4 linked regions of the Astyanax mexicanus genome follow. The protein of the gene in region 1 interacts with the protein of each later gene in a pairwise test. Links are inferred from orthologs where the notes say so. Each region holds a gene or a part of one and is shown in the gene's direction. Other genes may lie near its edges.

Region 1 (7,982 bases):
AACACATTTATTTATAACCTACATTTGAAGTTTCTGTGCTGTATTTTTTGTTGCTATTCTGTCTATCTCTGTTAAAATAAACGTAATATAAAATTGATAGGCTGTTCATGTCTTTGGGTTAAATGGGATCAAATTAAGCAGAGGATCAAATAATTATTTTTTCCACTGTAACTGTTTAGTGCAGTGTATTATGTGGAGTCCCATAAGGTTCTATTTTAGGGCCTATTGAATTGATGTACATTGGAACTGTAATGTAGTTTTGCAAGAATTAATCTAAAGCATGGTCGGTTAAACCGGTTAAAATGGGAAAAGGACCATTATTTGCAGTTTTTTTTATATTAAGAATCAATAGTGGTTATTGTCTTCATACTGTATTTAAGAAGATGCTTTCGCCCTTTAGTGATTAAAAACATCAACATTATAAAGCACAGACTTGCAGATCATCATCTGTCAAATTTATCTCAATAAAGACGTGTCTGCAGTGCTAGAAAAAAAGCACAGCATGGGGTTTTCTATTTCCAACAGCAGCAGCACTTGTCCATAAAAGGGAGCTGGAAAACCATTACACGTGACTCTTAACATGATATCAGCTCGTTTTTGTGTTGAAATATGGCAATCAAAGCTGGCGGAACACAAAGAGAAGGGTTTTGGTGGATTGGCTGAGGAGGAGGATGTTTTGGTCTCGCGGTGTAATGAATTACTTGGATCAGATCACGAGTAGTGCAGATTCAGGTATAAACAAAGAGCTGCTTGTTGTTGTAGTCACAGCGAGGATGAGAGGATGAGACGGCCAACTTGGAAGCGAGCACATTATACCATTATCTGGCAGCATACTCCACTCACAGATAGACCGTACACTGCACAGATGAATATGTGCCAGAGAGAGAGAGACAGAGAGAGAGAGAGAGAGAGAGAGAGAGTTGAACCATAACAACACACAACTACAACATAAAGGGAACCTAGAGTGACCATATCCTACATTTTTACTGGATCTGTAAAACCCAACTGATACTTTTAGTTAATTTATCTATGTATCGTTAACCCTTACAATACAGCAGGCTCGTTTTGTTACTGTGCATTAGCAGTGTGCAATATTATTTCAAACGCAATAATATTGCAAAAAAGTAAGACGATAAAAAAGCTCCATATTGTTATATTCTTAAAAACACATTTATTTTATTGATTTTTTAAAATTACTTTATTTCCCATTTTTCCCAGATTTTATAAAAATTTATATTGACAGTTTTCAAATATATTTTTGCCTTGCTTACAGTATCACAATATATTGTGATATATATTAATCTGTAACCACTGTATTGTGATACATATCATATTGCCAAGTCCTTGCCAATACACAGTCCTACTTGTGACAATGTGCCATTTAAAGTACCAGCATTTCTATACACACTATATACTATACTTTACATACTATATACTATATTAGAGGCAGACAATCTATATCTTACTTCAGTCAGTGTATGAGAATTCAGTATGCAGTTCAGTAAAGATATACATTATTACACACTGGTTACACAACACTGTACACACTGTATGTATATATTCAAACACAGTATTTAGAGGCCTCTGTGTCCTCTTGGTTTTCACAGAGCGTAGTTTTGGTCTCAGACTAAACAGCTTTGCTATTATTAAGGAAGAAACTATAGGACATCATTTAAACTGACTGTCATACACAGAATTACTGGCATAAACAGCAATTTAATAAAAGGAGACACTGGATTGTGATTGTGAATCATTCTTATGATGGAACACATAAATTAGGTAAGAAAATTAGCCAATGCTTAGTTTCTACTGATTCTGTTCTCAGGAGGTGCAGGTCAGTTCTCAACCAATCCCAATTAGAGAAACAGTGCACTACAATGGTAGTGTTTAAAGACTCATATTAAGCAATGAAAAAACAAAGTATATTGCAAATAAAATGTACTTTTTTTTTTGCATTTTTTAATGCTGATTTCTCATATGTACATGCCCTGCTAAACTAGCAATTACATATGGCTTCTTTTTATTAATCTGTTGCCTGAGCCCACCAGCAGGCCATAAATCGTTCATTGTGTATATCCATCAGTTTATCTGAAACTATACTGGTCCCGTAAGTCAGGGTCAGTGAATCATAGTAAAGCTTAGAATCTCTGCTTTTCATTGCTTTTGCAAAACATCTGCATCCATTATTTTCAATCAACAGAATGATTTCTAGTTAGCTAATACATTCTGCTTGCTAACTTTGAGCTAAACAGAATGCTACTTTTCCTGACTGAGCTTCAGGGAGTAAACAAATGAATCACCTACACTGAAAAACAATAGTGCTTTAAACTCACAGCACCTACATGTGTTAAATTAAATTGCAGTGGCTGCAAATGAGTAGAACACGAAACATCAACACCTAATCTAATCTTCAGCAACTACACTACAAAAACACTACACACACCATTTAATATCTTACGCAGATACAAACACGTCTGCCAATCAGAACAACTTTACAACTACAAGACTATCCACCACTTACAAGCAAAAACCAGACAACAACCATACCCAACATGTTAAACCATGACGTTATATCACTAAAGGTGACAGTGTTCCAGAAAATGGTGATTAACCCAGAGTACCCTGTACTAAAGCAACCTTTACTAATGCACTCTGCAACCAAGACGCATAAAAAACACGTAATTGAGAAATATAATGTTGAAAAACACGCCAAAACGAAGCAATATTATCCCAAATAAACACGGTACCCAGAATTCCTGCTCTCCGCAATTAGCATAACCCCACCCACAGCTCATTGCTGCAACAAGTGGCAAAGACACAGTATAGTATTTGCGTGAAATCAGAGACCTTATTAATTTCTGAAGGCCTGTAAGGACTTTTTATTCATTTACACATACTTTTATATATCTAATTCTGAGTTAATATCACTATTAAAAATATATACATTTAAATATAACACAGTTTAAGATAATATATGTATATTTACATTACCATGCTGCTTTACACATTAGTCTAATATTGATGCTGAATAAGATTTCTGGTCACATCACATTAGCACAGGTTTACAGGTGAGTAGTTAAAAACTTAAAAACACAATATACAAAATTAAAATAGAGAATATATCATTATCACTTACATTTTTTCTAAACTCCAGCTGCACTTGTAGAATGTTTCCTTGCTTCACTTATTACCTAATAATGAGATTTATTTTCTTGCACTGAATCATGATGAGCCACAAGGAGACAGGGACGGACTGGGACGGACTGTGAGTTCTGGGAAAGTCCAGAACGGCCTTCATTTCAATAACCAGAATTTATTTAGTCTAGCAACTAACAACAACTGAGGGCGCTAATATGATAAATTGTCCATTTGTCAAGCGTGTAGGTCTAAAAGTGCAGGCTAATAATTACACAGAATAGACCTAATAGGCTATTATACTAGTTAATTTCAAAAATTGCACTAGTATTGCTGATGATTATGGCTTACAGCCAATGAAAACCAAAAAATCAGTGTCTCAGAAAATTTGAATATTATATAAGACCAATTGGTGCTTTTGGCAGTGTGGGCAGTGTGCCAAATCCTGCTGGAAAATTAAATCCGCATTTTCATAAAGTTTTCAACAATGGGAAGCATGAATTGCTGTAAGATTTTCCGGGAAAACACTGCACTGACTTTGGACTTGATGTAACACAGTGGATCAACACCAGCAGATAACGTGGCTCTCCAAACCTTTACTGATCATCAGAAATTTTACATTTCATTGGCTGTAATCCATAATCATCAACAATAAAAGACATAAACGCTTAAAATAGATCACTCTGAGTGCAATATATCTATATAATACATGAGTTTCACGTGTTACTGAAATACTTAATTACTGAAATAAAGTAACCTTTCAATTCTATATATATTTTTGAAATGCACTAGGATGTGATGGGATCTGGGAAAAACCTCCACATAGTAAAATTAAACCTTTTTGAGATTTTGTAACCACCTGAAACCTGTATCTGTGTCAAAGGCTGTGATTAACCAAAGTTGATTTATCCGTTTTTTTATTTTTAATAATAAAGCTTAAAAGGTTGGAGGATTAAACGGTGCAATTGCAAATAGAATCAAACTAATAAACAAACAATCACTTTTTAACAAGATAATCAAGCATATTTTGGTGAGATATTGTCAGATATGTCAGACAAAAGGTTACAGAGTAACAATTTCATGAAAACATACTGCCATTCAACACAGTATCACTCTTTGCCAAACATGTGGCAGAGGTAATAAATGTTTTCCTAAATTCCATCAAATACTGTAGGTGTTAAAAAAAAAACAGCCACCAAAATAAAAATAAGTCTATTTAGGTGAAATAAATGTACAAATACACTACTGCACATGAAGAAAGCAGGCTCCAATAAACACAGTACCAAGAAGTCCTGCTCGTTGAAATTAGCATAACCCCGCCCACAGCTCATTACCGCAACAAATGGCAACGACATAATGCTTTATTAGTGTGAAATCAGGGACCCTATTCATTTCTAAAGACCTGTAAGAACTTATAATTGAGGTAATAAAAAGTACAGGGCCGTCCTGGGGACTGGTCTCAGTCCGTCCCTGTGAGGAGGACACAGAAATGTCCAGTAAAGGTAAAGACGGAGCAGGCTTCGATAATCTTTCAGTATCACTCAGCCTCGTCCAGTGTGGGGCGCTGCCGGATCACATTCAGCTTTAAACGGAGAGGCTTTTTCTAGTGTGAGTGTTAAACATGAGCATAGGTGTGAATAAAACGCTAAAAATGTAATTTGAGGTAATTTCACTTACATGTCTTCATAAATCAACGTCGCTTAAGCATTAAAACGTGTGAAGAGTTCAGCTTGCTTGTCTAATCTAACCTACATCATTAACTAGCATTATTACCTACCGTCGCGGGGGCGTGGCTCAGTGATGCCCGGTCGCGCAGTGCACACCGGGAAAGCGAGTCCACACAGCTCCAATAATTCTAGCACCATCACTTACTTGTAAAGAGCAAGATGCCGGCCGTTCATAAACTACTCCTGGAGGAAGCCCTGCAGGACAGTCCACAGGTAGGCTGAGCGCGGCTGTGCTGCAGCAGGTGCTGTGTTAGAGGTGCTATTCGCTGTTGTACCCGCTGTATTGGAGGCTAGGCTGTGTGTTTATCTGTAGTCTTCGCGAACTGTTGATCCCGTTTTTCACCCAGAACAGCAGGATCTCAGTGATGAGCGCTCACGCAGCTCGACCAGCGCTTCACTGTTTAATTTTATCCGCTATAAAACAGGCTGGTGTCTGTTTAAAGCAGAGAGCAGGGCTGTGTGGTGAAGAGGAGAGCGGCAGGAACAGCTACATTATTGAACAGCAGCTCGGGTCTCTGTGTTATTTCAGGAGTAAAAAGGCCACGGAGGCGAGCGGACACATCCCGCATCTCAGCTGTTTAATAACCAGCGGATACGACTTTAGCAGCGAGCTGCTACTAACGAGCAGACTCAGAGCACATAACACAGCGTTTAACCGCCATGTTGAGTCGTTTATAGGACGTTTCAGTACAGAAAAGAGTGAGTTTAGCCTGCAGTCAGTCTGGAATAACAGGGCCTGCTGAGGTCCACTCTGGGAGGGGCCTGATTAACTGGATGTGTTCAGTGTATGTTAGTTTACCTAGCTAGAGTGTCTGACTCTGAGAGCCTGACTGTCAGATACACGCTGATCCAGACTATAACGTTACAGCTCTGTAACATTATGTTATGTAAAATTATGTTTTCCCTTTTACCAAATTGAAAACCTCTGAAATATAATTAAGAGGAAGATGGATGATCACAAGCCATCAAACTGAACTGCTTGAAATTTTGAGGAGTGGCTTAAAGTTACCCAAAAGCAGTGTGTAAGACTGTTGGAGGAGAACATGCCAAGATGCACGAAAACTGTGATTAAAAACCAGGGTTATTCCACCAAATATTAATTTCTGAACTCTTAAAACTTTATGAATATGAATATGTTTCCTTTGCATTATTTGAGGTCTGAAAGCTCGGCATCTTTTTTGTTATTTCAGCCATTTCTCATTTTCTGCAAATAAATGCTTTAAATGACAATATTTTTATTTGTAATTTTGAAGAAATGTTGTCTGTAGTTTAAAGAATAAAACAACAATGTTTATTTTACTCAAACATATACATATAAATAGCAAAATAAGAGAAACTAATTCAGAAACTGAAGTGGTCTCTTAAATTATTCCAGAGCTGTATATATATATAGGCTGCACGATGTTAAAGCTGTCACCTATTCAGATAGCAAATTAAATTGTTAATATATCAAAATATGTTCTTATAACAATGCTGGAAAATAGCTTAAAATGAAATTTTAAAATAAGTGTAAGCTTGTGTTGTTAAGACTTCTTGTTTAGTTATGTATAAAACCATAGAATGTTACAGAAGTCACAGATTTTTGGAGTTAAATGGGTTTGTTTATTGTTTTTTTCCAGTAGAGCTGCACAGTATGCACCTGCACCTGGAATACCGTGATATTCATTTTCAGGGATGAAGTCATATATTCTTTGCTCTGTATCATAATAAGTCTTTTAGTAAGTAATTTTGTATTTTGTAAATGATACACACATTCTGAAATGTGTGTATTATTTACTGCATGCTTTAGATTATTTTGAGAGAGCAGATAAAAAATCTTAATAATAAATATTTCTGTCCATTATTATTTATAATACTTTGGAAGGATTTTTTTTAGAAAATGGAACAAAACAGTTCAGTTAAATGCAGGTCTTTTACCTCAGGAATCAGCAGCACTCAGGAATCATCATTACTTACAATGTATGCATCCTTTATTAGGTATTGAGATCCCTTTCCCTTGCCAGTAATACTTTTAGATTGAAGCCTGATCTCTTTTGACTTCACAAAAAGGACATCTCAAGAAGAGAAATGTGTGATATGTGAATAACAAAGCTAGATCTGAGTGAAGGTGTTTTCCTGCTCTGAATGTTTGGCAGCTTTAAAGCGAAAGTTTATACACTTTTTCTTTTACTTCTAATGTGCTTGATCAACCAAGACAAGACATGTTTGGGGTTTTGAAGTTTCCTCCTCAGTTCTTCGTTTGACTTTCCATGTGAAGTGATATCTAGGTTCACATAGCTTGATCTGAATGACTTGTGGCTCATTTGTAGCTGAGCCCTTGTCAGCCAGCCTTAGAGTTAGTCAGCCTCGTTCTTACTTTCTGCCCCTGGCCAGAGCAAGATCACTTTCCCCTGCATAGCTCTGGAACTTGACACTTATCCTACAAGCAGCTAATTACATTAACAACGTAGCATACAATGTATAGACGAGACCTCAGTAAGCTTTGCTGAGCTCAGTATTGCACGTTTCATTTTTATTAGCAAAAAAGAGAGCCTGTTAACATGAACAAGTTTTATTTGTTTAGGATATTGCAACATTTTATATAGCAGCACACTTTTCGAAAGGTCAAAACATGAAACTAGTGGCATTCCCATTATGTGATAAGGAACAATTACATGTAACACTACTGGTTTCAACCCTGTTCCTGGAGAGCTGCCCTCCCGCAGACTTTGGATCCAACCCTAATCCACTTCTCCTGATCCAATTCATTACTAGCTTCACACTTTCATGGTGAGCTGAATTGGTTGTGTTAGATTTGTGTTGTAGTTGAAACCTGCAGCACTTTAGCAGGATTTTGTTTGGAAAACTGGATTCAAATGTACAGTTCCTGCTTCATTTGAATTGTTGGGACACACACAGCATTTTTATACTGGGGAAACATGGAAAAGTTTCTTGTAGGTGAAGATATTTTATACATATGGTGACACTAGCCCACCAACCATGACAGATTATCCACAGGTCCACCACCTGTCAGTGTATACACTCTATTGTCAACTTGATGCCAACTTCATGCACTGAAGCTAAGCTAAAAAAAGAACAATACATAAGATACATTCTGATAAATAAAATCTACAAGATAAT
Region 2 (7,632 bases), about 9.9 Mb from region 1:
GTAAATATTATCTGAAGCTGCTGGCCCAGACCTGTTTAAATTTGTGCACTGCGGCCATATGACTGCTTAGTTAGATGGTGTACAGGTGATCCTAATATATTGCTTGTTGAATGCATAAATTATAGTACTCTCACTACACAATACAGATGTCTTTGCCTGTGAGGCACTAATATCAAATATTTGTTCTTTACTTCTGCCCACATTTTTAGGGTGCTGTTAAAGATAAAGGCTGCCAAAAAGGTTACTTATGCCATGCCATAGGAAAAGCACTTTTGCTTAGATAAAACAAACCTTTTAATTTTTAATAAAACGGTTTTGTGAAAGAGATGAGTGTTGAGAACCTTTTATAACAAACATTTAAATTTTACAGACTTCCATATAATAGTTAATAAATTTGACATTATGTGAAGGGTCCTAAAATCTTTAAAAGTTTATTTTCTCTTTGACACATCTTTTTAAAATGTGCGAACCAAAAGTTTTTTTTATGGCATTGCACAAGAACCCTTTGTGAACACCTTTTTGTTTTATGAGTCTGAAAATTGGCTACTGATCCGGATCTTAAATTATAATTGATTATAACTTTGTTTTGTTTTTGGCTGCTTTTTCCTGTCAGTATGTATGGTTGTGTTTCTGGAGAGACAAGGAGATTTCCAGTACAACACTCCCTTGTTTCACCAGCTTTTTACTGATAAGTGGTGTTGATTTGCGTTGGACTCCACACATGGCAGCATGTAGAACTTGCCCTTTTATGTTGATCAGTTACCACTTCTCGAAACCATGACCTGAGGAACCATTGCTTGAAAACCCAAAAGCTTAGATTAGCAGTAATGGCAGCTTCTACCAGTCGTGCTGGGACTCCCAGAGCTTTGTTTTCTTTTCTCCTCAACATGGCTTCTTTGAAGTGGTCTAAGCGGAAGAACGTATTGGCATCACCTGATCAGTCTGCTCTTTGAGCCTCTCGGTCATATCGGTCTTGAAAAAACTAACATGATACTGTTGTATACAATGGTGCTGAATTACAAGTAAATGTTTTTCTTTTTTTCATGAAGTGACAAATAAAAGAAAAAAGCTTCAGTTTCATAGGCTCTTTTTTATCTTGAGCCCTATTAAATATGAGGTTTCTAAATTCCCTAGAAAGACAATAGGGCATTTATTTTCTCTAAACGTTCGTGAGCATGTGTGTGTGTTGGAGGGAGAGAGACCTTCAATGATGGTTTTGTTTTGAGATGGGCTAGAATAGTGGCCCACTCATCCTCCAGTGTAAATGGATCCATGTCCGTTGAACCCAGATCCCTGACTAAGCCCTGCCGGGAACTGCTTCTAATGTGGCTGGTGTATATCTAGAACGGCTTTAGTGCCTTGAAACCGGTATGTGCTGCTGCAGTAGTTGCTTTCCTTTTTTTCCTAATACAAAATAGTCTATGCCTGTGCTTAATCTGTTTTGTGCTATGTGCAAACACATCAGAGCTGCAGGGGTTTTTAAAATATGATGTAGAGTGTATGTAGAGTGTATCTACTGGTTTAGTACAAGAAAGTAAATACTATTGTCAGCACTCAGAAAATGGTGCTGATCTTGTTGTTAGAGGTAAAAGCTTTAGGGGTGCTTCAGTGTCGTGTGGTCTTGAGGAAATCCAAACCTCATTAAAGCAAATGGGGTGTAATTAGTCTCACAAGTGCTCCATTACACCGGATTGATGGCACTGAAAGTTAAAGAGACATACAGGTGTCGGGTTTAGGGAAAGCAGCCCAAATGAATTCAGTGCAAGTAACGTAGAGCAGTTCACCAAAACCTCATCTAATATCCCTATCACCCCTCCCTCTGGGTTTTCAGAGAATCCTTTATCCTTCATTATGTTTGGATGATTTTATGTCCTTTACCATGGAGCTTTGCTGATTTTATTTGACATTTTATATTTATAATTCTTAAAAAAAAAAAACTGCCTGTAAAGCTTTTCTCATAATTATAGTATTAGTATACCCCTTTTACACCTGCTTCCTTTGTGTGTCATGAGTAATATTGGGATTCTGCTTGGATCAAGCCAAGCACACACAAGATCTAAAACATAAACATATTTAATCACTTAAACCAATCACCCAGCACATGAAACACCAGTAATATTTTCCATGCTACAAGCAAATCAGCATATTCTGTCGCACACAGCAATTACATTTCAGTCGGACTTAACATAGACACTTGTAACTACCCAGTGTAAATGGTTAAAATATTATCAGCACACAATACAACTACTAATCCTAATCATAAGGTGTCCAGGTCTAAACGGAGTCATCGTCTCTGAATTGACAGGGAAATGACAGACTAAACCTAAAAGCAAAAACTATAAAGGAAAAAAGTTTAGAGTTTTATTACATCAGAGTTACAAAGCAGCTTTACAGAAATCTGGGTCCAGAGTTAAAAGTGATACTGCACAGAGGGGATGTAACTGCACTGCAAAGAGAAAAAAGATAATCAGATGTGATATGAAAATTCACTTAAGTCTAAGAGAACCACTCAGTTTAATCTTAACAGACACATTTAATTTAGCAAATTTTGCCTCAAATAGGAACTAAATGAAAAACAGGATACGACGCAAATGGACAGATGATCCAGATGCCCTTATATAATAAACCCAAAATGCAAAACAGGCTAGACTAAAGATTTAAACTTTTAGTTCTTTGTAATGTGATTTATCATGTCAAAAACAACACTAGATGTTTACACAGACATACGAAAAAAAACATTTGTTTAAGATATGCCTATTAATTTAGTATTATTCATGTCAACAATGTCTGTCTAGTACAGAACAAAAATTAACTGAAGGACATTTTAGTTTAAAAAATGAGATCGTCATAAAGCAGAAAAGAAAGAAAAAAAGAAGAAATTGCAGATGCATATTAACAGTTTCTAGGGTAACAGTGAGAAAAATATATAAATACTTGGTAAGAGTGCCTTTGGGAAAACTTCAATTAACCAAAGTACACAAAAACAAAAAAAGTGAGGTTAGAGGAATTCTTCTGTAAACTGAAGGCAGAGACAGATAATCAAACATTTTTGAATATAATCCAGAATAACCTTTCCAATGGTTCAGAAAAAAAATATTAAAGACTATTTAACCATTTATAAGCAGGGATGGCATGACAGATAGAATGGAACAGAAATGTGCAGTGCAGGTAATTTAATCACTGATGGATAGATATGCACTAAAAATAGGGAGATTTAATTGTGTGAACAGAACACACGTCTTCAGGATTAGCCAAATAAAATTTACATGCTGTCTCTGACAGCTGCTGACATACCAACGCTCATTTCATGCAAATTCACTTCATATCCTGGAACAACTGTGTCAGCAACAGCAATAGTAATGCTAAAAATGAACAAAGAATATGCACACATACATCTACAAGCAGCAATTATTGGGGGTAAATCTTAATTGTATTGCCAAATGTTACCCAAACTCTTGCCTGTAGAACATAATTAGGCTTTTCAGTCATTTAAGGTATTACCTTCATGTGTATCTTAAGGCAGCAGAAACCCTTGTTTGTCAAACTTTAATACAGTTGTATAAAAAAAACTCTTGTTCAAATAATGTCATTTATAAATGTAAAGTCATATATTTATATTCTAAATACTGATACAGATGTTTTCATATACAAAATTACCACTTTAAAATAAGGCTTCTTTATTGAGGGGTTTCTAATGTTATTAATTAGGTTAGTAAACAGCTAGATCCTTATTTTACTTTGTCTTTTCCATCAGTCAGCATTAACATTTATGTTAATAATTTTATTCATTTAACTATGATAACATATTAAATTACTTAACTTACATTTTATTTTTTATTAGATATGTTAAACTGTTTTTCTTATTATTTGTGTTGTAAGTGCTTATTAATGTTTTAAAGTATTTACCACTTTATTTATAGCCATTAATAAACCCCTTCATAATATATTTATGAACCCTTTATAAAGGAGCCTTATTTTAAAGTGGTACCAAAAATGTTTTACTTTATCAGTCACATTACCCTTGGTTCTGGACAAAATCCTTGTGAACTGTAAACAGAAACATTTTAGAAAACAGCATTCATTAGGTTAACGGTGGCTTATTTTACTACTACTCTTTTTTTTTAATCAAAATGTACTTTTTATTTTGACTCAATTTTAATAGCGTTCCAATTAAAATTTCCACGATTCTGGTAAGTGAATTAATTTTTACTATGAAATAAACTTAACTTTTCATTAATAAAGGTTATGCTATAAATACTGCATAGTTGTTTAGTCTTATCATTACATTTTATTACGTTTTAAATATGAGTTTTAGTTAGCAAAATAGCCACAAAGCTAGCTAGAAATTCCCTACAATTTGTGGCACAATTTTCATTAAGGTTTCTGGTTGGTTCTACTATTTGACTGTATGATAAACTCTCCTCATAAACCACTGCTATTTTTTAAATAGTCATATAATTTTCGTGTTTCCTGAAAAACGTTTAGACGCTTATTTTTATAGGAAGGTGTTGATATTAGATTCTGACTAAAATCGTATTTCTTGGTAATGACACCTTTCTCTTATTTTTCAGGCCGCATGTCCACCAGAACCTCTTCAACATTTGTTTAATTTTCGCTTTAACAAACACGTCTAGATAAATAACAGAAGACACAGTAATGGCTGAGTGTGAGGAGCAGTTATTATGATATAAAAAAAAGTTAAACAAATGTTAAAAAAATTAAGTTAAAAAAATTAAAAACAGTGTAGACAGATGTGTGAACTAAACTTCAGTTCCCGGGTTTCGTTTCTAGTCGGTGCCAAATGATGCAACAAGAGGAAACGGTGGAGTACGGAGCCCCGATAATAACAATAACAGACCTATAAAACACAGAGTACAGGTTTAAATGTGGGGTTATGAGTCCGGCAGGTCGGGTTTTGGGTGAGTATTTCTGTTGGACCTGTGGCGAAGGGTGGCCGTGTTTGTGCCCCGCTGCTGAGCTCCAGCCTGCGTTAGCCGGATTAGCAGAGGTGCTAACAGCAGCCCTGAACTCCACCAGCCCGAAACTAACGATATCAGTGCAGCCATGGACCCGAAACACAGAGAGATACTCCGCGCGAACACACTGCCGCTCTGCGAGCAGCTGATCGTGGACGACACGGTCATTCAGTTCCTGTACCAGGAGGACATTTTAACAGAGAGCCAGGTGGAGGAGATCCAGTCACAGCCCTCCAACAAGCTGAAGACCCTCAGGCTGCTCAGTGTCCTGCCCAGCCGGGGTCCCCGCGCCTTCAGCGGCTTCCTCACAGCCCTGCAGCGCGACTTCCCCTGGATCAGAGACGAGCTGCTGCTGCAGCAATCAGGAGGAGGAGAACAGGACAGCGCGACCCTGTCCCCCTCCACAGGTCTGTCTCTCTCTATCTCTCTTTCTCTCTCTCTCTGTGTTTCTGAGGTGTAGTGGCTGCTGTACACACAGGCACAGGGCGAGGTGTACGTTAACTCGCTAACCGGAGAGTGTGGAGGTAACTAGTTTTATTCAACAGCTCTGGAAAACATGGAGGAGATGAACTGAACTCGCTGACCCAGAAGTTCAGGTTGCTCGTTTTCCCCTTCCAATGAAAAAACAACACTAGTCTGGAGTTACAGTCAGTGAGTGATAAGGTGGTGGGCTCAGGTTTCCCACAGCTCTAGACTCTATAGACAGTTCTTTCCTTCTTCTGAAGTGTCCTCACACCTTAGGAGTGACAGTGCTAATATAACTTTGTAGCTAGCTATCTAAAATAACTAATAGTGCCATGCAGTAGTAAATTTAGTTAATAAAGGCTATAGTTTAGCCTTACTATTGAGGTTTATTAAAAAACAAAATTCTGTATTTCAGTCAGCAAAATCAGCTGTAAGGTCTGTAAAGCTGGCTAGCTTGCAGTTCACTACAATTTGTTGCAAACTGTTAAAATAGAATTGTTTCAGGAGTTAAGATTGGCCCAGGGAGTTGTAACAGAGGTTTTTAAAAGGGTGTCCAAACCTCAGATGATTTCATTTTTGTTGTTGTACTGCAAAAGTCAGTTACGTAGTAATGCCATAGGTGAATGAGCTGCCCTGTTCTTTTACAACGATTTCTATCACAAACACAACAGTGCTGGGAGGTATACCGTTTTATTCGGTATACCGGAGGGGAAAATTAAAACCAGTATGCATTTTCACCTACTTGTAGAGGAGCTGCGGAGTGCTGTGTGGAACAGCACTGCTAAAGAAGCACATACAGCATAACAAACTAACACATGGGAATAACTGTAGCTCAGTTCTGTGGAGTCAAATGCTCTGTCCTACACGGGAAAAAAAATGAGAACAGCTCTTTATCTAAAGAGCTCCTGTTGCAATGTGAGTGTTTTTATGTGAGTTAAATAGAAAAGCAACAGTAAACAGCAATTATTCACTCAGAAAGAGAAGAATGGAATTACACAAACCATTCACAGCTTATTTATTTTGTTTATTTAGCACAAGTGATAAAACTCCTTAAACACTGGATACGAGGTGCAAAAACATTTCAAGAGCAGTAACTATAGCCCTGTTTAAATACATTAATACTGTAGCTTGAAGGATAATATTAATGCACATTAAATTGAATGCATTTGTTAACTGGAGAAAGAAGGAAATAATCTGTGGCTTATTTTAATACTGTAATGCCTCTAATGGCTTCAATAATAACAAATTGTAAATTGATATTAAACCTCTGTCTAACTTGTTCTATAGAACATTTGAAAAATGTCTCTTTAAATACTTCAATCAAAGCCTTTATTTAAAGCCTTAGTGTTTTATATTATATGTACTCCTAACAGCACAGCAAGTCACACACCAATATTAAAGCCCAGTCATGCAAAATAAAAAAATTATTAACAAATTTGTGAAATACCGTGAAACCGCCATAATCTAGTTGGAAAGGAGGCTCTTCTACCCCGATAGGTTGCCTCTAGCATGGATACAAGATGAGATACACTTGGGCATAGAGGCAAACAGGGTCTGTATGGCATCCTGCGGCACAGTTGCTCAGCTGGGCCTGTAGATCCTGTACACTTTATAGGTTGCCAAAGCTGACTGCCCAGCTGGTCCTGTAAATGCTTGATTGATAAATTAGGCAGTGTGTTGGAGTGAAGTGGTTCAATCCTTGCTGTGTGTGAGTGAGCACTGTCCTGCTGAAAAATGACATGCTATTCTGCCATTCTGCCATGAAAGACAATGTGTGGTTGCAGGAGGATGTACTGACATATCACTAACATGTTATTGTAACTCGTATCACCTCTTGAAGTGACAAACTTGTAGTATGTGCTGGCTTCTGATAATCACACCAGCAGTTGGGGCAGTGTTTCGCTCTACAGCAAAAGCAGGATTGAAGCTCTCATTGCAAGGCAGGTTTCTTGATCACAACACTCCTGTTATAACGACTGGCCTAAGGACATCCTAAAGTTTGTCGGCTGGGCAAAATGTCCTTGATTGTGTTATAGAACCATGTCTGTTAGTCTCTCACCAAGAGGTACACTACTCAAAAGTAGACTCTTTTCACAGAGAGCAGGAAAATTATTTTAACACCTTTGCCAAGAACTTGTGTCTGTTCAGATCACACCTTCAGTCCTTTACACTTCTGCCTGAGACATGCATG
Region 3 (7,521 bases), on another chromosome or scaffold:
AAATAACATCACCTCAGACAATGCAGACTGACTGGTCGTGAACTTAGAACCTATAGGTACAGCTGTATGAGTTATTCCAAACACATGAATAATTATCACAATCTCCTCAATTAAATGTTTCAAATGAAAAAAAAAAAGTTTGTAAAATTAAAACTACATGAATAAAAGTAAAAGTAACTATATGACTGTAGAACCTGCAGCTTTATCTGTTGTATAAGACACAGTGAATACCAGTAGTTTAAGACCCTCAATCAGTTGATTCAAGTGATTCAGGATTATAAAGGTAAAACTACATTAATAAAAGAAAAAAAACATTACCTTAGGCAATGTAGACTGACTGTTCTTGCCCTTAGTAACAACTACACAGCTGTATCAGACACAGGAATAGTTAATTTCCTCAATTAAATTATTTAAATGTTTGGGGTTCATCAATGTAAACGTGCTTGACTAAAAGTAAGTAACTACATGACCTCAGGCAATGTAAGCCAGGTACAGCTGTATCTGTTGTTTCAGCCACAAGGAATAGTTAATCTCCTCAATAAAATGATGAAGAGAACAAGGTTTTTTAAAAGTAAACTACATAAACAAAACTACAAGTAACAACATGACCTCAGGCAATAGGCTAACTATTTTTGACCATAGAAACAGCTACAGATACAGTTATTTAAGTTGTTTCAGATGTAGAAATAGTTAGTCTCTTCAATCAAATGAATCAAGTGAAGGTGATTTATAACGGAAAATATAAAATGAGTTATTCAGAAATATACACTATATGGACCAAATTATTGGGACACCAGGAGATGCATTGTTTCGTTCAAAATCAAGGTCTTTAATAAATAGTTTATTGTAACTATGAACTGTCTCTAATATCCATAAAAGGCTAGAATGAAATAGAATGAAAGTTGGCCCGCTGTTAAGCAGGTTTTTATAATGTGAGATTCAAAGTTTGAACGCTAGGTGTAAGAAACGGGCCAAAGAGTCTAAAAGCGGCGAGAGTGAAGTTGTAGCGCAGAAAAACGTGCCAAACAGTCTAAAAGCGGAGACAGTGCGCATTTCTAGCGCCGAAAAACGGGCCAAAGAGTCTAAAAGCGGAGAGGATGCGCAGTTGTAGCGAAGGAAAACGGGTCAAAGAGTCTAAAAGCGGAGAGAGTGCTCAGTTTTAGAGGAGAAACACTAGGGCTGGCCCGAATAGCGTTTTTTGAGCTCCGGATATTCGGCACTGATTCGAAGCGAATATTCGAATATTCGTTTTTAAAAAAAGAGGTAAAAAAAAAAAGCAAATCACGGCCCCTTTAATCCACTGAAAAATGTTCAATTTGCTCTGACCGACGAGACATATTCACCCCGGATTTTTGGTGTTTTTATCCCGGATTTTTGTGTTTTCACCCCATATTTTTTCTGTGTTTTTAGCCCAGATTTCTTTGTGTTTTCATCCCGGAATTTCTGCTGCCCCACACCGAGGCTGCTGCTGCACGGTTTCTCCGCTGCGCAAGCCAGCCCAGTAAATTGCTGTTTGTGTTTTCACACTTAGGCTATTTGCTTAAAAAAACAAACAAAAAAAACGTTTGTTCAGGAAGTATTTTATATTCTTAAACATTGTTGATTATATTAGAGGACAGTCATTGTAAACTGTACTTGGTCTATTTCAGTTAAAGGATTGTGCAGGGCATATTACTGATTTTGTATTTTTGCACTTGGGCTATAAGCTCAATATTAAATATTTCGTTTGTTTAGAAATTATTTTATATTTTTAAACCATGTTAAATTATATTAGAGTAGAGGAAAGTCATTGTTAATGACGTTATTGTACTTGGTCTATTTCGGTTTAAGGATTGTGCAGGGCATAGCCGTATTACTGATTTTGTATTTTTGCACTTGGGCTATAAGCTCAATATTAAATATTTCGTTTGCTTAGAAATTATTTTATATTTTTAAACCATTTTAAATTATATTAGATAAGAGGAAATTCGTTCAGACATCATTTTTGTAGGCCAGGCTTTTGTAACCGATTTAGCCCCTACTGTTGCCACATTACCCCTTACGTTTTATTATATAAATCAGTTTCGAAGAGCCTGCATTTTTTTTTATCATGTATAATAGAGGTCTGCGCGAGACTGATTTTTAAACCCACTCTTCCACGCTCCCGCGTTTCTGTCTCGTTACCGCTCCGCAAAAAAATTGCTTCTTTTAATCCCGCGCCCGCCCGCCACATACACATTTCTGCCGCTCCCGCCCCGCGTTCCTAATATAAATTAAATAAACTACATTTAATGCTTCAAATTTACTTATATATTTATTAAAACAGCAGCGCTGAATAGTGTGGTCCCGTTCCTTACCCCAGTCCAAACACCATCGGTGTGTGCGTGTGTGTCGGTCCATCCTGCGCGTTGAGAGTTTTCTTTAGGTTTTTTTTTTTACAATTATTACAGTTTTCTTAACTATTTATTAATTTGCTCCCGCATCGTCTGGATTAAACTCCCGCTCCAGCCAATAACAGTTCAGTTCTGTCCCGCGCGCAAGATATTCTGACGGGACCCGCGAGAACAGAAGTGGTTAGAGTGAGGTGGAACTCTGGAAAGGAGAAAAAAAACGAATATCCGAATACCAAAATTAAAAACCGAATACCTACTCAACGAACGAATATCCGAATACCCGAATATTCGGGTCCAGCCCTAAGAAACACGGGCCAAAAAGTCTAAAAGCGGAGAGGGTGCGCAGTTGTAGCACAGAAATCGGGCCAAAGAGTCTAAAAGCGGAGACAGTGCGCATTTCTAGCGCAGAAAAATGGGCCAAAGAGTCTAAAAGCGGAGAGGATGCGCAGTTGTAGCGCAAGAAAACGGGCCAAAGGGTCTAAAAGCGGAGAGAGTGCTCAGTTTTAGCGGAGAAAAACGGGCCAAAAAGTCTAAAAGCGAAGAGAGTGCTCAGTTTTAGCGCAGAAAAACGGGCCAAAGAGTCTAAAAGTTGCCGTAATTAAGGAGTTTAATATTAAGAGACCTCATGAAATGAAACATCAATTTGAAAAATCTTAGTTTACACAACACTGTCAAAGATAGATAAAGATAGTAAGTCAAGTAAAATGGTGTGTAAATGAAAGTAATGAGGAAAATGTATTATTTAAAGTGGTGTATTTCATTATTTGTTTTATTACAGAGTCTGTGGCCCGTGACTTCAAATATATTTCTTCTTTCTGGCCCCCAACAGAAAAAGTTTGAACACCCCTGCTTTAGGATGTTGGATGGTTGGATGGCTTTCCATCATTCAACACAGTTCCACTCTCCCACAGCTCAATCCTGGGGGCTTTATATTCCTCCACTTCATTTCTGGCATTTGGCATGATGTCAGTAAATTCAGAGAATTTTATTCTGTTTGGCAGTACTTTTCTACAGAGACTAGACATGCTGTATGGATGCACTTTCACATCTATGTCAAAAATGAGTGTTAGTAGCGTATATTTTACATACCAGAACTGTGGATGATATATTAAATTAAGGAAGCAGACTGTTACATAGAAGGATCAAGATATTAAATTGAGGGAACAATTGAGGGACTGGACTGTTAAAATGAGGTAGTGATTTAATAAATTTGTGGAGCAGTTTGTTTGGAAATTATTTATTAAATTAAGGGAGCACACTGTTAAAACGAAGAAACATGTTACTAAATTGAGGGAACAATTTATTGAACTTAGGGACTAAACTGTTAACATGAGGTAACAATTTATTAAATTGGTGGAGAAGTTTGCTTAGGAATGATCTATTAAAATTAGGTAATGATTTGTTAAATTGATGGAGTAGTTTTTTGGGAATAATTTATTAAATTAAGGGAGCAGACTGTTAAATCAAAGAAAGTTTTTTAAATAAAAGGATACAATTTATTAAAATAAGAAACTGGACTGCTAAAATGAGGTAACAATTTATTAAATTGGTGGAGCAGTTTGTTTGGGAATGATCTATTAAATTAAGGGAACTATTTTTTAAACTATGGGGCTAAACTGTTAAAATGGGGCAATGAATTATTAAATTTGTGGAGTGGTTTGTTTGGTAATGATCTATAAAATTAAAGGAACTATTAATAAAACTAGAGTAATTGGTTACCTAAATTAATGGAACGATTTTTTTAAATTGAGGGAACACCTTATTAAACTAAGGAAAAGAATGGGAAAATTTAAGGGAACACTTTTATTGTGTTAAACTGAAGGAGTCCGTAATTAACTAAATTGAGAAAACGATACAGATAAATGAATCACATAGGAATACAATTAGTATTTCAATAACTATAATACGACATACTTTTTACCTCATTTTACCTCAGGTGGGGAGGGGACGCCCAGTCAGTCAGTCATATCAGTCGAGGCTTTTAGAGGCATTAAGCCTAAAGTACAAGTAAATGTATCCTCAGTCTTTTATTTGACAATATTCAGAAAGAACTAAAATCATCCAAACTTCTGACTCTGAGGAAACACAAGCAACACTTCCCCTCTCTGTCTGCAGGTGAGTTGATCTGACTGGTGCTTCTCCCAGTCCGTCAGCAGTAAAAGTCCCTGCGCTCGGAAATAGGAGGATCGCTGAGGATCGCTGAAGTCGCGGAAGCGAATGCCGGCGGGGCCCGTGGTGAGAGAGGCAGCTTTGGGGCGGCGAGAGGCAGGAATTGCGCTCTGACCCTGAGTCAGTCTTCCGTGTGAGAGACTCTAAGGTAAATCCAGCACGTTTTTATTCAGTTAACAGCTTTTTTCTGGTCGACACTGTCGATGGCAGGTATTAAAACGTTGGTTAGACAGCTGAACGGTCATGTTTATCGCCTGTTAGCTTCTACGTTGCTGGCTAGCGTTAGCTTAACTCACTCCCCAGCCTGGAGTTTAATAAAAGCGTCTCCTGTCTATTTAGCTAAACCTACTCTCTTCTTGTGAGTACACGTATTAAAACTCTAACGCTAGTTTTACCAGTGACACCAGCTTAATTAGTTGGCTTATAGCTAAGCTTAGCTATCTTGATTAGCCTGTTGACATAACAACAAATTCAGAAGACTGTTAGCTAACGCTAGTTTAGCTAGCTAGCTTAGCCAGCTTAGCCAGTGAGTGGATTGGTGTCTGCAGGCAGCTTCTGCTTTTTCGAGCTTGTTGGCGTTGTTAATAAACATAGATACGTCCTCTATGTCGTATTCACTTATTAACTGTGTATTTGTGCGATTAAAACACATATTTAGTTGGTTTGGTTGTTTATTTGTCGCTAGTCGCCATTAAAAAAGCGTTTGCCCATTTAGCCTTTGGTCACTATTTTATGTGGACACTGTGTTGCTAGCATATCTAGCTTAGCTAACCATATCTAGCTAAAGCGACTATTAAGTAGAGGTGGATAAGCCAGCTTTAGAAAGTAAAAATCCATCCCAGGTTTTTGTACCAACTCCCTGGGCGGTTCAGCTGCAACAGAGCCGCCCAGGCAGTTGGTACAAAACTCTGGGAGGGATTCTTACTTTCTGGAGCTGGCTTACCCACCCCTTCTATTGAGGTAACGTTAGCGTTATGTTAGCTAGCTTAGCTATGCTTCTAAGAGAAAGCTTTTGCCTTTTATAGTTTGTTTGTTTGTAAGCATGTCGCTAATGTCATATATTTTAGAGGTTAATTGTGTTTCTAAACATGACAAAAAAGTCCTAAAAGTGAGCTTATGAGACATGGGTTTGTGTTGGGTAGGGTTCGCTAACTAGCTAACCCAACCTAACGTTATGTGATTATTGTTGGAGATGTGTTTGGGGTTAAGCTAGCTAGCTATTTAGCTATTTTGTTGCTGTAATTTAATAGCTAAGCTAAGCTTGTTAGTTAAGTTAGCCTAGTAAGTTGAGTTATACTCATCTTATGCAGCAGGATCAGAGCTCAAGTTTTAAATGTCCCATTTAACTAGCCAGCCAATCTGCTTAGCTTAGCTATCAAATGGAGGAGGAGTGGTCATGCACCTTAGTTAACCATTTCCATCTTAAGATACATTTTTAATCAAAGAGTCCATGTTCTTATGTTAAAGGGAAGCTCTAGTACTGGGAATATGTAAAATTAGGTGCGTGTCACACAGAAATCGAAAGTCAGCTAATTCTCAAGCTAAACCAGACCAGCCACAGTAGCTGGCTAGCCAGCTGAGTCATTGCTGTAGCCTTCACTTTGAGTTTCCTGTGGCCTACGCCTGTCTGAACTTGTCTCATAAAGTCAAATAACTGATATGAAGACCTGGTTTGTGGTCAGTCGTGTTAACTAGAGTTAGTAAGTGTTTTGGGCTGAGTCATAGTGATAAAAGGTTATACCACTGCCTCTGTTGGGTTGTTCTGATGGAGCTTCATTTTTTTTAATGCTGTTTCTTAACCTTTGATACCCAGTAAGGATTTAGCTATGTGACCTGACATAACACAAGGCTGACCATGTTATATAGCTAAGTTAGCACAGGGGTGGACTTTTGCTCTCTAGCATTTTCGAATAGGCTACACATGATGGTGTCTTGAGGTTGATCTTCGCATGTTTTTATCACTTTCACAGTGATGGTTTGACACCTCATGGCTGAAGCTGTGGCTTGACATGTGATGACTGATGTGGAGAGTAGTTTTTTCTCAGCTAAGAGCAGTTTCTAAAGGTTTATTTGTGGCTCAGGTAGTGCTGTGTGTTCTGGGCATATTGTTGATGTTAAGATTTGTATTGTATAGGGCCTTTTTATTTAAAAAACACTTGTACCTTACAGGACAGAACAATTGGATAATAAAATCAAACCCCTGACCCACTCAAATTCAATTCAGTTCAATTTTATTTATATAGAGGTTTTTACAACAAAAGTTGTCACAAAGCTGCTTTACAGAGAAAACAGGTCCATGCCTCTTGTGATTTGAGCACTACAGAGATGCCAATAATTGTGATGAAACCTTAAGTGGAACCAAGACCCGCTCAGTACAAACATATAACAACAAAACAACAGCACAGAGAGAACAGGGCATCTCAATACATGTGAAAGAGATGGTAAAGAAAATAGAAAGAGAAAAAAGCTGGAGGTTGTGTAATAATTCTGCTGAATAGAAGGACAGGGCTGAACCACAAATCGCCATCAAACACAGTATGATTTTCTAAGAACATAAACATAGGGCAACCAAAAACCTTTTTTTTATGTTTTTTTGATGATGTAAATCAGGACTCCAAGGTTAAAAAAATAAATCAATAATCCAATCAAAATCAGATTTCTAAAGTTATTGCCCACCTCTAACCCAAGCCAAGATTTTCTGCTGTTATCAAGCCTTCCATATCAATACACTATCTCTATCTGTGCAATATCAATACTGCCAAAGCCAGTATCATGACAATGATTAACTGTCAATAAATTTTGCACTACTACACTCCTAAAAATAAAGGTGCTTCACGTAGTTCTTTGAGCAGTGCCCTTAGAGAACCTCTTATTGTCCCATAAAGAACCACAGGATATATTCTTTAACTTTGTTAAAATGAGATAAACAAAAACATGTATTAAATTTACTTCCCTTTTTATGGCATAGTTTAAAGGACCA
Region 4 (7,425 bases), on another chromosome or scaffold:
CTGTTTTGGTCAATTTATTTATTCAACTACATAGACTTATTGTTCCCACCGTACAAAAGATTTGTACATTTGTACAACATAAAAAGAGACATACCTGCATCCTCGGACATTCTGCCAACTGTCTCCATCACGCTGATGAAGTCATTCTCATCATCACTGAATTCTCGTAGCACATCTAATAACCCACGTGCAACAATTTGTCTAAGAAAAACACAGTAGAAAATAAGGAGATTAAAGCACTGTTTGAGACAAGGTCATTTATAGTCATAAACAGAGGACAGCCTGCTGTTCAGTGGCTTTTATTGGTTAAGTGCTTACACAGCTGTGCTGTGAACGTAAATTGCTGGTGGTCGGCTTGTTGTCTAATAAAGAGGTCTGTCTGAGGTCCACATTTGTGCTAGAGTGTTTTGTAGAGTTAATTTCTTTAATGACAAGGACATATCATTGTACAACTATTACAAAACTTTTAATGGAAGTCAGTGTAAAAAGATTGAATCTTTCTATTTCTATTTGTCCATTCCCCATATAAAAAAATGCCCAAATGTTTGGGAACCATATGTATGAGTATATAAACACACTACTGTCACTCACCTGTTGAAGACATTCTCACTGAAGGCATATTTTTCTAGCCGGCCCAGAGGAGTCAGGTTATCCTGCCCTGCATCCAGGAATGCTGTGATTCTAATACCATCACACTCAGAACCATAGTCGTCAAATCCAACTGCAACAAACAATAGATTGCTTCAGTTCAAGAACAGGATGTGGCCTTGTGTATCACTAAATTACACCAAAATAAACACTACAATCATCCCTACTATCACATTGCTCTATCAAATTATTTACCTTCACAAACATTTGCCAAATATTCAGTATTTATATAATTGCAGCCACACAAAACTCATGCATGTCTCAATGGGTAACTTTACACAAAACCTTGACACGATGTAGGAAACATTGTCATCACATCTGATCACAGTGTTAAATTATTGAAACTTTACTTCTTAAAATCTTTTTAACAATTTCATACTTTTTATAAGTAAAAATGCTATTAAGTCACAAATTAAGACATAATAACCCAAAGACATACTGTTAAATTACTTTATTTTCAAAGCAAATTATAATATTTCAGCAACCTGGTAGCTTCCTTTGAACTCAGTTTTTAGATATCAGCTAATTTAAATGGCATGTCACGAGTAACAAAAATCAGTTTTTGCTAAAAGAGCAAATCATGTGTATGAATACTTACAGTCATCTAGCTCATCATGACCATCTTCAAAATACAAAGATAGACCTGGAAAGAGCCAGAAAAAAAAAGCTGTTTAAAATATATTCAAACACAATTTAACTAAACTAATAACATACAAAAACATCTGTACTCTTGCAGCGAGTAAACATCCACAGTGCAGAAGTGTGGGTTTCACATGTCTTTTAGAGTTAAAGCAATAAACCAATGAAATGACATTTCTGTTTCTCTCAAGAAAGAATGGGCCAGTTTCCTAAGCATCTTAACATTAAAAACCTCTTAATGAGAATGCATGAGAAAGCGAGACAGAGCTCAGTGTGATGCCACCCCAGGTCAATGAAGGAATGCCACAGCCTATATAAATAATATTGCTATCCATGTGCATCCCTTCATGATCACTATAAAATTAAACAAATGAGGTGCATCTGAAGTGTAGTCTATCCTAAGAAGGTTTCAAATCAATTGTAATGGAATGCAAAGCCTAAATTATGAAGATTGTATCTCTGTCCACATATTTGTATTTTCTTACTAAATGTCAGCACATTTAAATCCTACATTTAGTTGTTTTTATGGTTTTAAAGCAAAAGAGAAAGCTTGGAACAGGAGCCGTAGCAACAGGAAGCAGGTAGAAATAATCATTGACGATTTAGACAAAATAAATATCAGATAAGTCTACTACCAAAATACTCTTTTGTAGCAACCCCATTATATTCCGATTCAAAGTATCAATATTCAATATTAACACGTGACTTGTAAAAATAGCATTAGAGATACAGGTTATGTGGTCCTGGTAATATGCTTAGCCTAACTTAGATCTGGAGATCTGATATTATCGTTACTAGTAAACATTTCACAGCTGATATATGAGATACAACTCTTTATTAATATATCCTAGTTTCATTACAGATATCTTTATTTAAGTTTTTACTAATGAAAACTGAGTTAATACAGAAGTTAACCAGCTAACATAAATACCTGACAGGTAAAAAGCACGCAGGAAACAGTCTGTCACATAGATGAATACAGCTAAAGGGTCTGTTCACATTGTTTTATTCTGTTTAGTGTTTAATTAACGAATATTTAACTAGTAATGCTAGTTTAATATGTTATACGTGTCCCAAACTTTACTCTATATTTTTTAAAGAATGGAAAAGAGCTTAGCTGAAGGATTTAACCAGATAAAGGCTTTGTTTTGCTTCTACGAGGGCGTTAGCTAGCTAAGCTAAGTAGAGGTGGGTAACGCAGGTCCAGAAAGTAAAAATCCATCCCAGGGTTTTGTACCAACTGCTTGGGCGGCCCTGCTGCAGCCAGAAGACTAGCTAGGCAGTTGGTACAAAACCCTGGGATGGATTTTTACTTTTTGGACCTGAGTTACCCACCTCTAAAGCTAGCTACCCTTTGGCATTCTGAGCACGATACTTAACTACAGTTAGCTAGGTTATTAATAAAATATGGATAAACATATATTAGCTATAAAACACAGGTAAATTTTAAAGTTACAGCGAACAGTTACATAAAACCCAACAAAAAACTGAACAATTCTGCGGCTAAACGTTAGCTAACCTAAGCTAAGCTAATCTATGCTAAGCTAAACTAAGCTAGGCTAGGCTAAGCTAGGCTAGGCTAGCTGTTCGCTACCGTGTTGGTCTAAAGCTTGGACTGGAAGCCCTCGTTAATCCACAGAAAAGGCGAGAAACGTCAGATTATTATTATTAATATACACGCTACATGGCCGTGTTATTAAACACGATTATATTTCGATATAATAACGATAGTAAATGATTTAAAAAAACAACAGAAACCTGAGGGAGGAAAGGAATTATTCCACATTACCTGCCATCTTGATGTACACTGTTCTGCTGCGGAGCTGTCATTCACCCCGCAGAGTAAAGCGCCTCCTGAAAATAATTCCTCCTGCTGGAACTCTTTAAACAGGGCTTTAAACATTTATCTAGTATTATTGTACAAAAAAACATGCATATATTTACAAAGAAGGATTGCAAGTAAAGAGAAAAAAGTACGGGTTCAACCAAAGAAGAAAAAATAAATAAATAAAACAAATATAAAGATTTAGGGTTTACATTCTAAAACATTATCTTCAGTTGGCAATGGGCTCCGTGGATAAAACAAAATCCTCAGGTAAATAATAGTGTCCATAATTGTCCCAAAAATGTAAAAAAAAAAAAAAAAAGATATTAGTATGTGCAGTGATATTAAAAGTGCTATTTAAACAATAATTTATTAAAGCAAGCATTTTATCTAACTTCATTATAAGTCTTAAGCCTGACTCAGTGCCTATTTTCACCTTCAGTAACTTTAGAAAAAATGAAATGCTCAAATAGCAAAAATGTGTTAAATTAACACCTTTTTAGTATTTTTTTTTTTTTTACATCTCTAATGCACTGTTAAAACAACATTGATCTGCAAGATTTATTCCACGTGATGGTTTTATATGTCTTGTTTGTATTAATGCTTATTTAACTTACATTAAATATGCATATCATGTAAGTGTAAAATTTAGAAAATCTAATAAAAATCTTCACATAATCTTTTTTAATCATAACAATCTATGAAAACAAAATACTCAAAACTAAGTATCTTCAGAAGATATATTACATTTAAATAGAATTGCAATCTTCAATGTAATCTTTAATGATCTGCATTTAATGATGTTTTTTGTTCAAAGATGGTTTTAAATTTTTATTTTAATTATAAAAAGACAGAATTTTTTTTAGAATTCTTTCTTCATGAATAGAATATTTTGTTAGTATAATAATAATAATCCATAGAGAACAACAGTATGTTGAATTAACTTCACAGAATTCACAGACGCAATGTTGATCTCCGACATTTATTCAATGTTGTTTTTAATTTGTCATGTTTAAAAATATTCAGTCATCTGACTAAAATAAAATAAAGTCAGAAGAATTGTCATAACAATCTTAAAATACTATTTTGCTAATAGTTACAACCTATGAAAACAGAAAATACATGTTATTGACAGTTTTTTATAACATATTTTCAATTAAGTAGATCTAATTTTGTGACTAGTAAATAAAAATAGCACGCTCCTAAAATAAGCAATAAAATGTTCTCAAAATGTAAAGAATTTCAACAAGCTTCTCAATTTTTATGGAACAGCCGATGTCACGTGACACACCAGCCATAACTCAAGGTGGCGCCTCCGGAGTTGTTCGCTGTGTAGCTGTTGGAGCTAATAGCGCAGCTAGCGTCAGTTCAGAGCGCTGATTTAACCGGTAGTTTACAGCGTTTTGAAGTCATAAAACCTTTTGCGGATTAAAGTTATTTTCTCTCTCCAGCTTTACATTCTGCAGGAAGGCGGGTACAATAAAACAGCGGGCAGACTTCCTGCCACATAGCTGTATAAACGCTGGCTATGCTAAGCTAACTGGCTAACACAGTTCAGTGTAGATAAGAGAAGTAGTTAGACAGCTAGCTTAGCTTAGCTTAGCCTAGCCTAGCCTAGCTCAGCTGACTGCTGTGAGCCGGACTGTAATGTTTAGGGACGCTTTATTATTTTGGGGATCGATATGTCTCTCCGAGAGCTGAAAGTCTGCCTGCTTGGGGTAAGATATTTATGTAGCGTTACATTTATTTATCGCTGTGTTTATGTTAATGTGTAGTTAGCATTAAAAGCTAATTCTTCTGCTGACTGTGTTCATATTATATTGCTGTCAACAGATCCACAGTAGAAGAAAACTAATATAGTTAACTAGTTATCTATACTGGTACTGAGTCTCTGTTTTTATTCACACATAAACTGTAACTTAGTTAAAACACAGTGTCAGATTTGCTATAATATAGGAGAGTTAAAAATTATCGTTTCAGTTAGAAATGTTGTGTAAATACTTCAGAAAAGTTAAGATTAGGGATTGAGCTGGGAGGTTAATCCAATTAATTTGATTAATAAAATGAACCGTTTTTTTTAAATTTAGTTATTTATAGGTTTATGTTTGAGTAAAATGAACATTGTTGTTTTTTATTCTACAAACCACGAATTTCTCCCAAATTCCAAGTAAAAATATTGTCATTTAGAGCATTTATTTGCAGAAAATGAGAAATGGCTGAAATACCAAATAAAGCAAATGATGCAAAGAAAACAAGTTTTTATCCATAAAGATTTAAGAGTCCAGAAATGAATATTTGGTGGAATAACCCTGGTTTTTGATCACAGTTTTCATGCATCTTGGCATCATGTTCTTCTCCACCCGTCTTACACACTGCTTTTGGATAACTTTATGCCACTCCTGGTACAAAAATGTAATCAGTTCAGCTTGGTTTGATGGCTTGTGATCATTCATCTTGCTCTTAATTATATTCCGTAGTTTTTTTTTTTACTGAGGTTCACCATTTTTAAGTGGTCTCTTTACTTCTTTTCGAGAGCTGTATAGAAGCTTTGTTTAATATAATAATATAAGAACTACATGTAAGGTTGAAGGGGTCTGCTTACTCTTCGTTAAAAAAAATAATAATTGAACTAAATGTAAAGAAAACAATAGCTTGCAATTTACAAATGGTGTTGTTTGTTATGTAAATTTTTGTTACAAAATTGCCAGATTCGAACAATATGGCAAAAATCTATATCATGTATATTTCTTAATTTCAGTAAATACAATATAGTTCCGATATCAATATGAACAGTATAAAATCCACCACCCATTGTGTACGTAATCACACACTGAGAACTGAGTGATAGTAAAAATATATCACAATATTTAAAGACTGTTTTTACAATATACATAATTTATAGTTATAGCTATATGAGTTAAAGTACAGATAAGCTCATTACCCTAGGTAAAAGTAAAAGTTCTCACATTAGACCTCCACTTAAGTAAAAGTTCAGAATTATTTGCCTTCAAGCCAAATACTGAGGTATTGAAAAGTGAAAGTATCACAATTTATGTTTAAGTTTCAGATTAAAGACTTGTTGTAATATATTGTAATTATTCATTTCTTACAACTTGATTAGCAATGTGTATTTTTGGTATAATTAAGTGATTTGTGATGAGTGAGTATTGTTGTTCCATTGTGTTGTAGGACACCGGTGTTGGAAAGTCGAGTATTGTGTGGAGATTTGTGGAGGATAGCTTTGATCCGAACATTAATCCTACAATTGGGTAAGCTTATCGCTACTTAAAGTGTTCATCTTCACTCACTAGTCATGTTGAATATATGATCACAGAATAGCAATTCTTTTTATTTATTTTCTGATGTGATGGAATTGTGTCTTTACTCAAAAGAAGCAGTAGAAAATAAGTATAATAAGTGTGTGTGTGTGTGTGTGTGTGTGTGTGTTGTGATTAATTTTTTTTTCTAAAATGAAGAAAATGTAAGAATACTGACTGGTATGGGTGTAACAGTACACATCAGTCACATTCATGCTGCGGTTTGACCTCCATGGATCAGTACTAATTTTGTACAACAGGAAATTATAATGTAATATATATATATATATATATATATATATATATATATATATATATATATATATATATATATATATATATATATATATATAATGTCAGTAGGGAATGACGATGAACGCTAGGCTCATATTCATTTTTACACTTTACTTACATAAGTTAAATGAAATGGCTTTTATCAGCTAAACGATATGAGCTGTAAAGGGCCTGTACAGTAAAAATAGCTAAGCTAATTATAGCATTTGATTGTTTACCAACAGACTTGCTTCGTTTCTCTGTGTAAATGTAATTTAGTTTGGCATACTGAGGAATTGAACATTCCCTGAATGCGTCTTCACTTCCTGTATTTATTGTTTCAAATGAAAAGCCTTTGGGCTGTCGTTGCAAAATGACTGTAGTGGAAACATATAAATGGTAAATAAGTTGCTCTCTTGCACAATTACGGTGATTAATGTGTACAGTGTATTCTTCATGTGACTGTATGCACCAACCCATGACATCCATATTGTGACAGTGAATATACCTAGAAACATACTGTTGACAGCAGAATTACTAATAGAACTTAACTTTTTTTTTTAGAGCATCATTTATGACGAAGACTGTGCAGTACCAAAATGAGCTCCATAAATTTCTCATCTGGGACACAGCAGGACAAGAGAGGGTAAGCAAATGCGTAATCCCTGCAAAAGTGTTGCTCACACTTTCACTTTCTATCTTCAGCTCATCTGATGTACAGTG

What was found.
Region 2: the proteins of appl2 (region 1) and cradd interact in binary tests that used the Homo sapiens proteins (3 or more experiments, as listed by UniProt). The two-hybrid records come from large-scale screens. The link is inferred for Astyanax mexicanus from reciprocal best matches to the Homo sapiens genes APPL2 and CRADD.
Region 3: the proteins of appl2 (region 1) and rab5c interact in binary tests that used the Homo sapiens proteins (3 or more experiments, as listed by UniProt). The two-hybrid records come from large-scale screens. The link is inferred for Astyanax mexicanus from reciprocal best matches to the Homo sapiens genes APPL2 and RAB5C.
Region 4: the proteins of appl2 (region 1) and rab22a interact in binary tests that used the Homo sapiens proteins (3 or more experiments, as listed by UniProt). The two-hybrid records come from large-scale screens. The link is inferred for Astyanax mexicanus from reciprocal best matches to the Homo sapiens genes APPL2 and RAB22A.

Annotation. Positions count from the first base shown.
Region 1 is NC_064409.1:46,283,376-46,291,357, forward strand, and holds the start of appl2 (DCC-interacting protein 13-beta), read left to right. Parts: upstream 1-4,963; 5' UTR 4,964-5,021; coding exon 5,022-5,075; intron 5,076-7,982. UniProt on the Homo sapiens protein: Multifunctional adapter protein that binds to various membrane receptors, nuclear factors and signaling proteins to regulate many processes, such as cell proliferation, immune response, endosomal trafficking and cell metabolism.
Region 2 is NC_064409.1:36,379,253-36,386,884, forward strand, and holds the start of cradd (death domain-containing protein CRADD), read left to right. Parts: upstream 1-4,622; 5' UTR 4,623-5,064; coding exon 5,065-5,383; intron 5,384-7,632. UniProt on the Homo sapiens protein: Adapter protein that associates with PIDD1 and the caspase CASP2 to form the PIDDosome, a complex that activates CASP2 and triggers apoptosis.
Region 3 is NC_064426.1:26,224,223-26,231,743, reverse strand, and holds the start of rab5c (ras-related protein Rab-5C), read left to right. Parts: upstream 1-4,520; 5' UTR 4,521-4,689; intron 4,690-7,521. UniProt on the Homo sapiens protein: The small GTPases Rab are key regulators of intracellular membrane trafficking, from the formation of transport vesicles to their fusion with membranes.
Region 4 is NC_064412.1:55,114,421-55,121,845, reverse strand, and holds the start of rab22a (ras-related protein Rab-22A), read left to right. Parts: upstream 1-4,405; 5' UTR 4,406-4,794; coding exon 4,795-4,830; intron 4,831-6,301; coding exon 6,302-6,381; intron 6,382-7,266; coding exon 7,267-7,348; intron 7,349-7,425. Other genes in the region: ppp4r1l (serine/threonine-protein phosphatase 4 regulatory subunit 1), read right to left, coding at 95-201, 592-721, 1,247-1,291, 3,077-3,083. UniProt on the Homo sapiens protein: Plays a role in endocytosis and intracellular protein transport. Mediates trafficking of TF from early endosomes to recycling endosomes. Required for NGF-mediated endocytosis of NTRK1, and subsequent neurite outgrowth.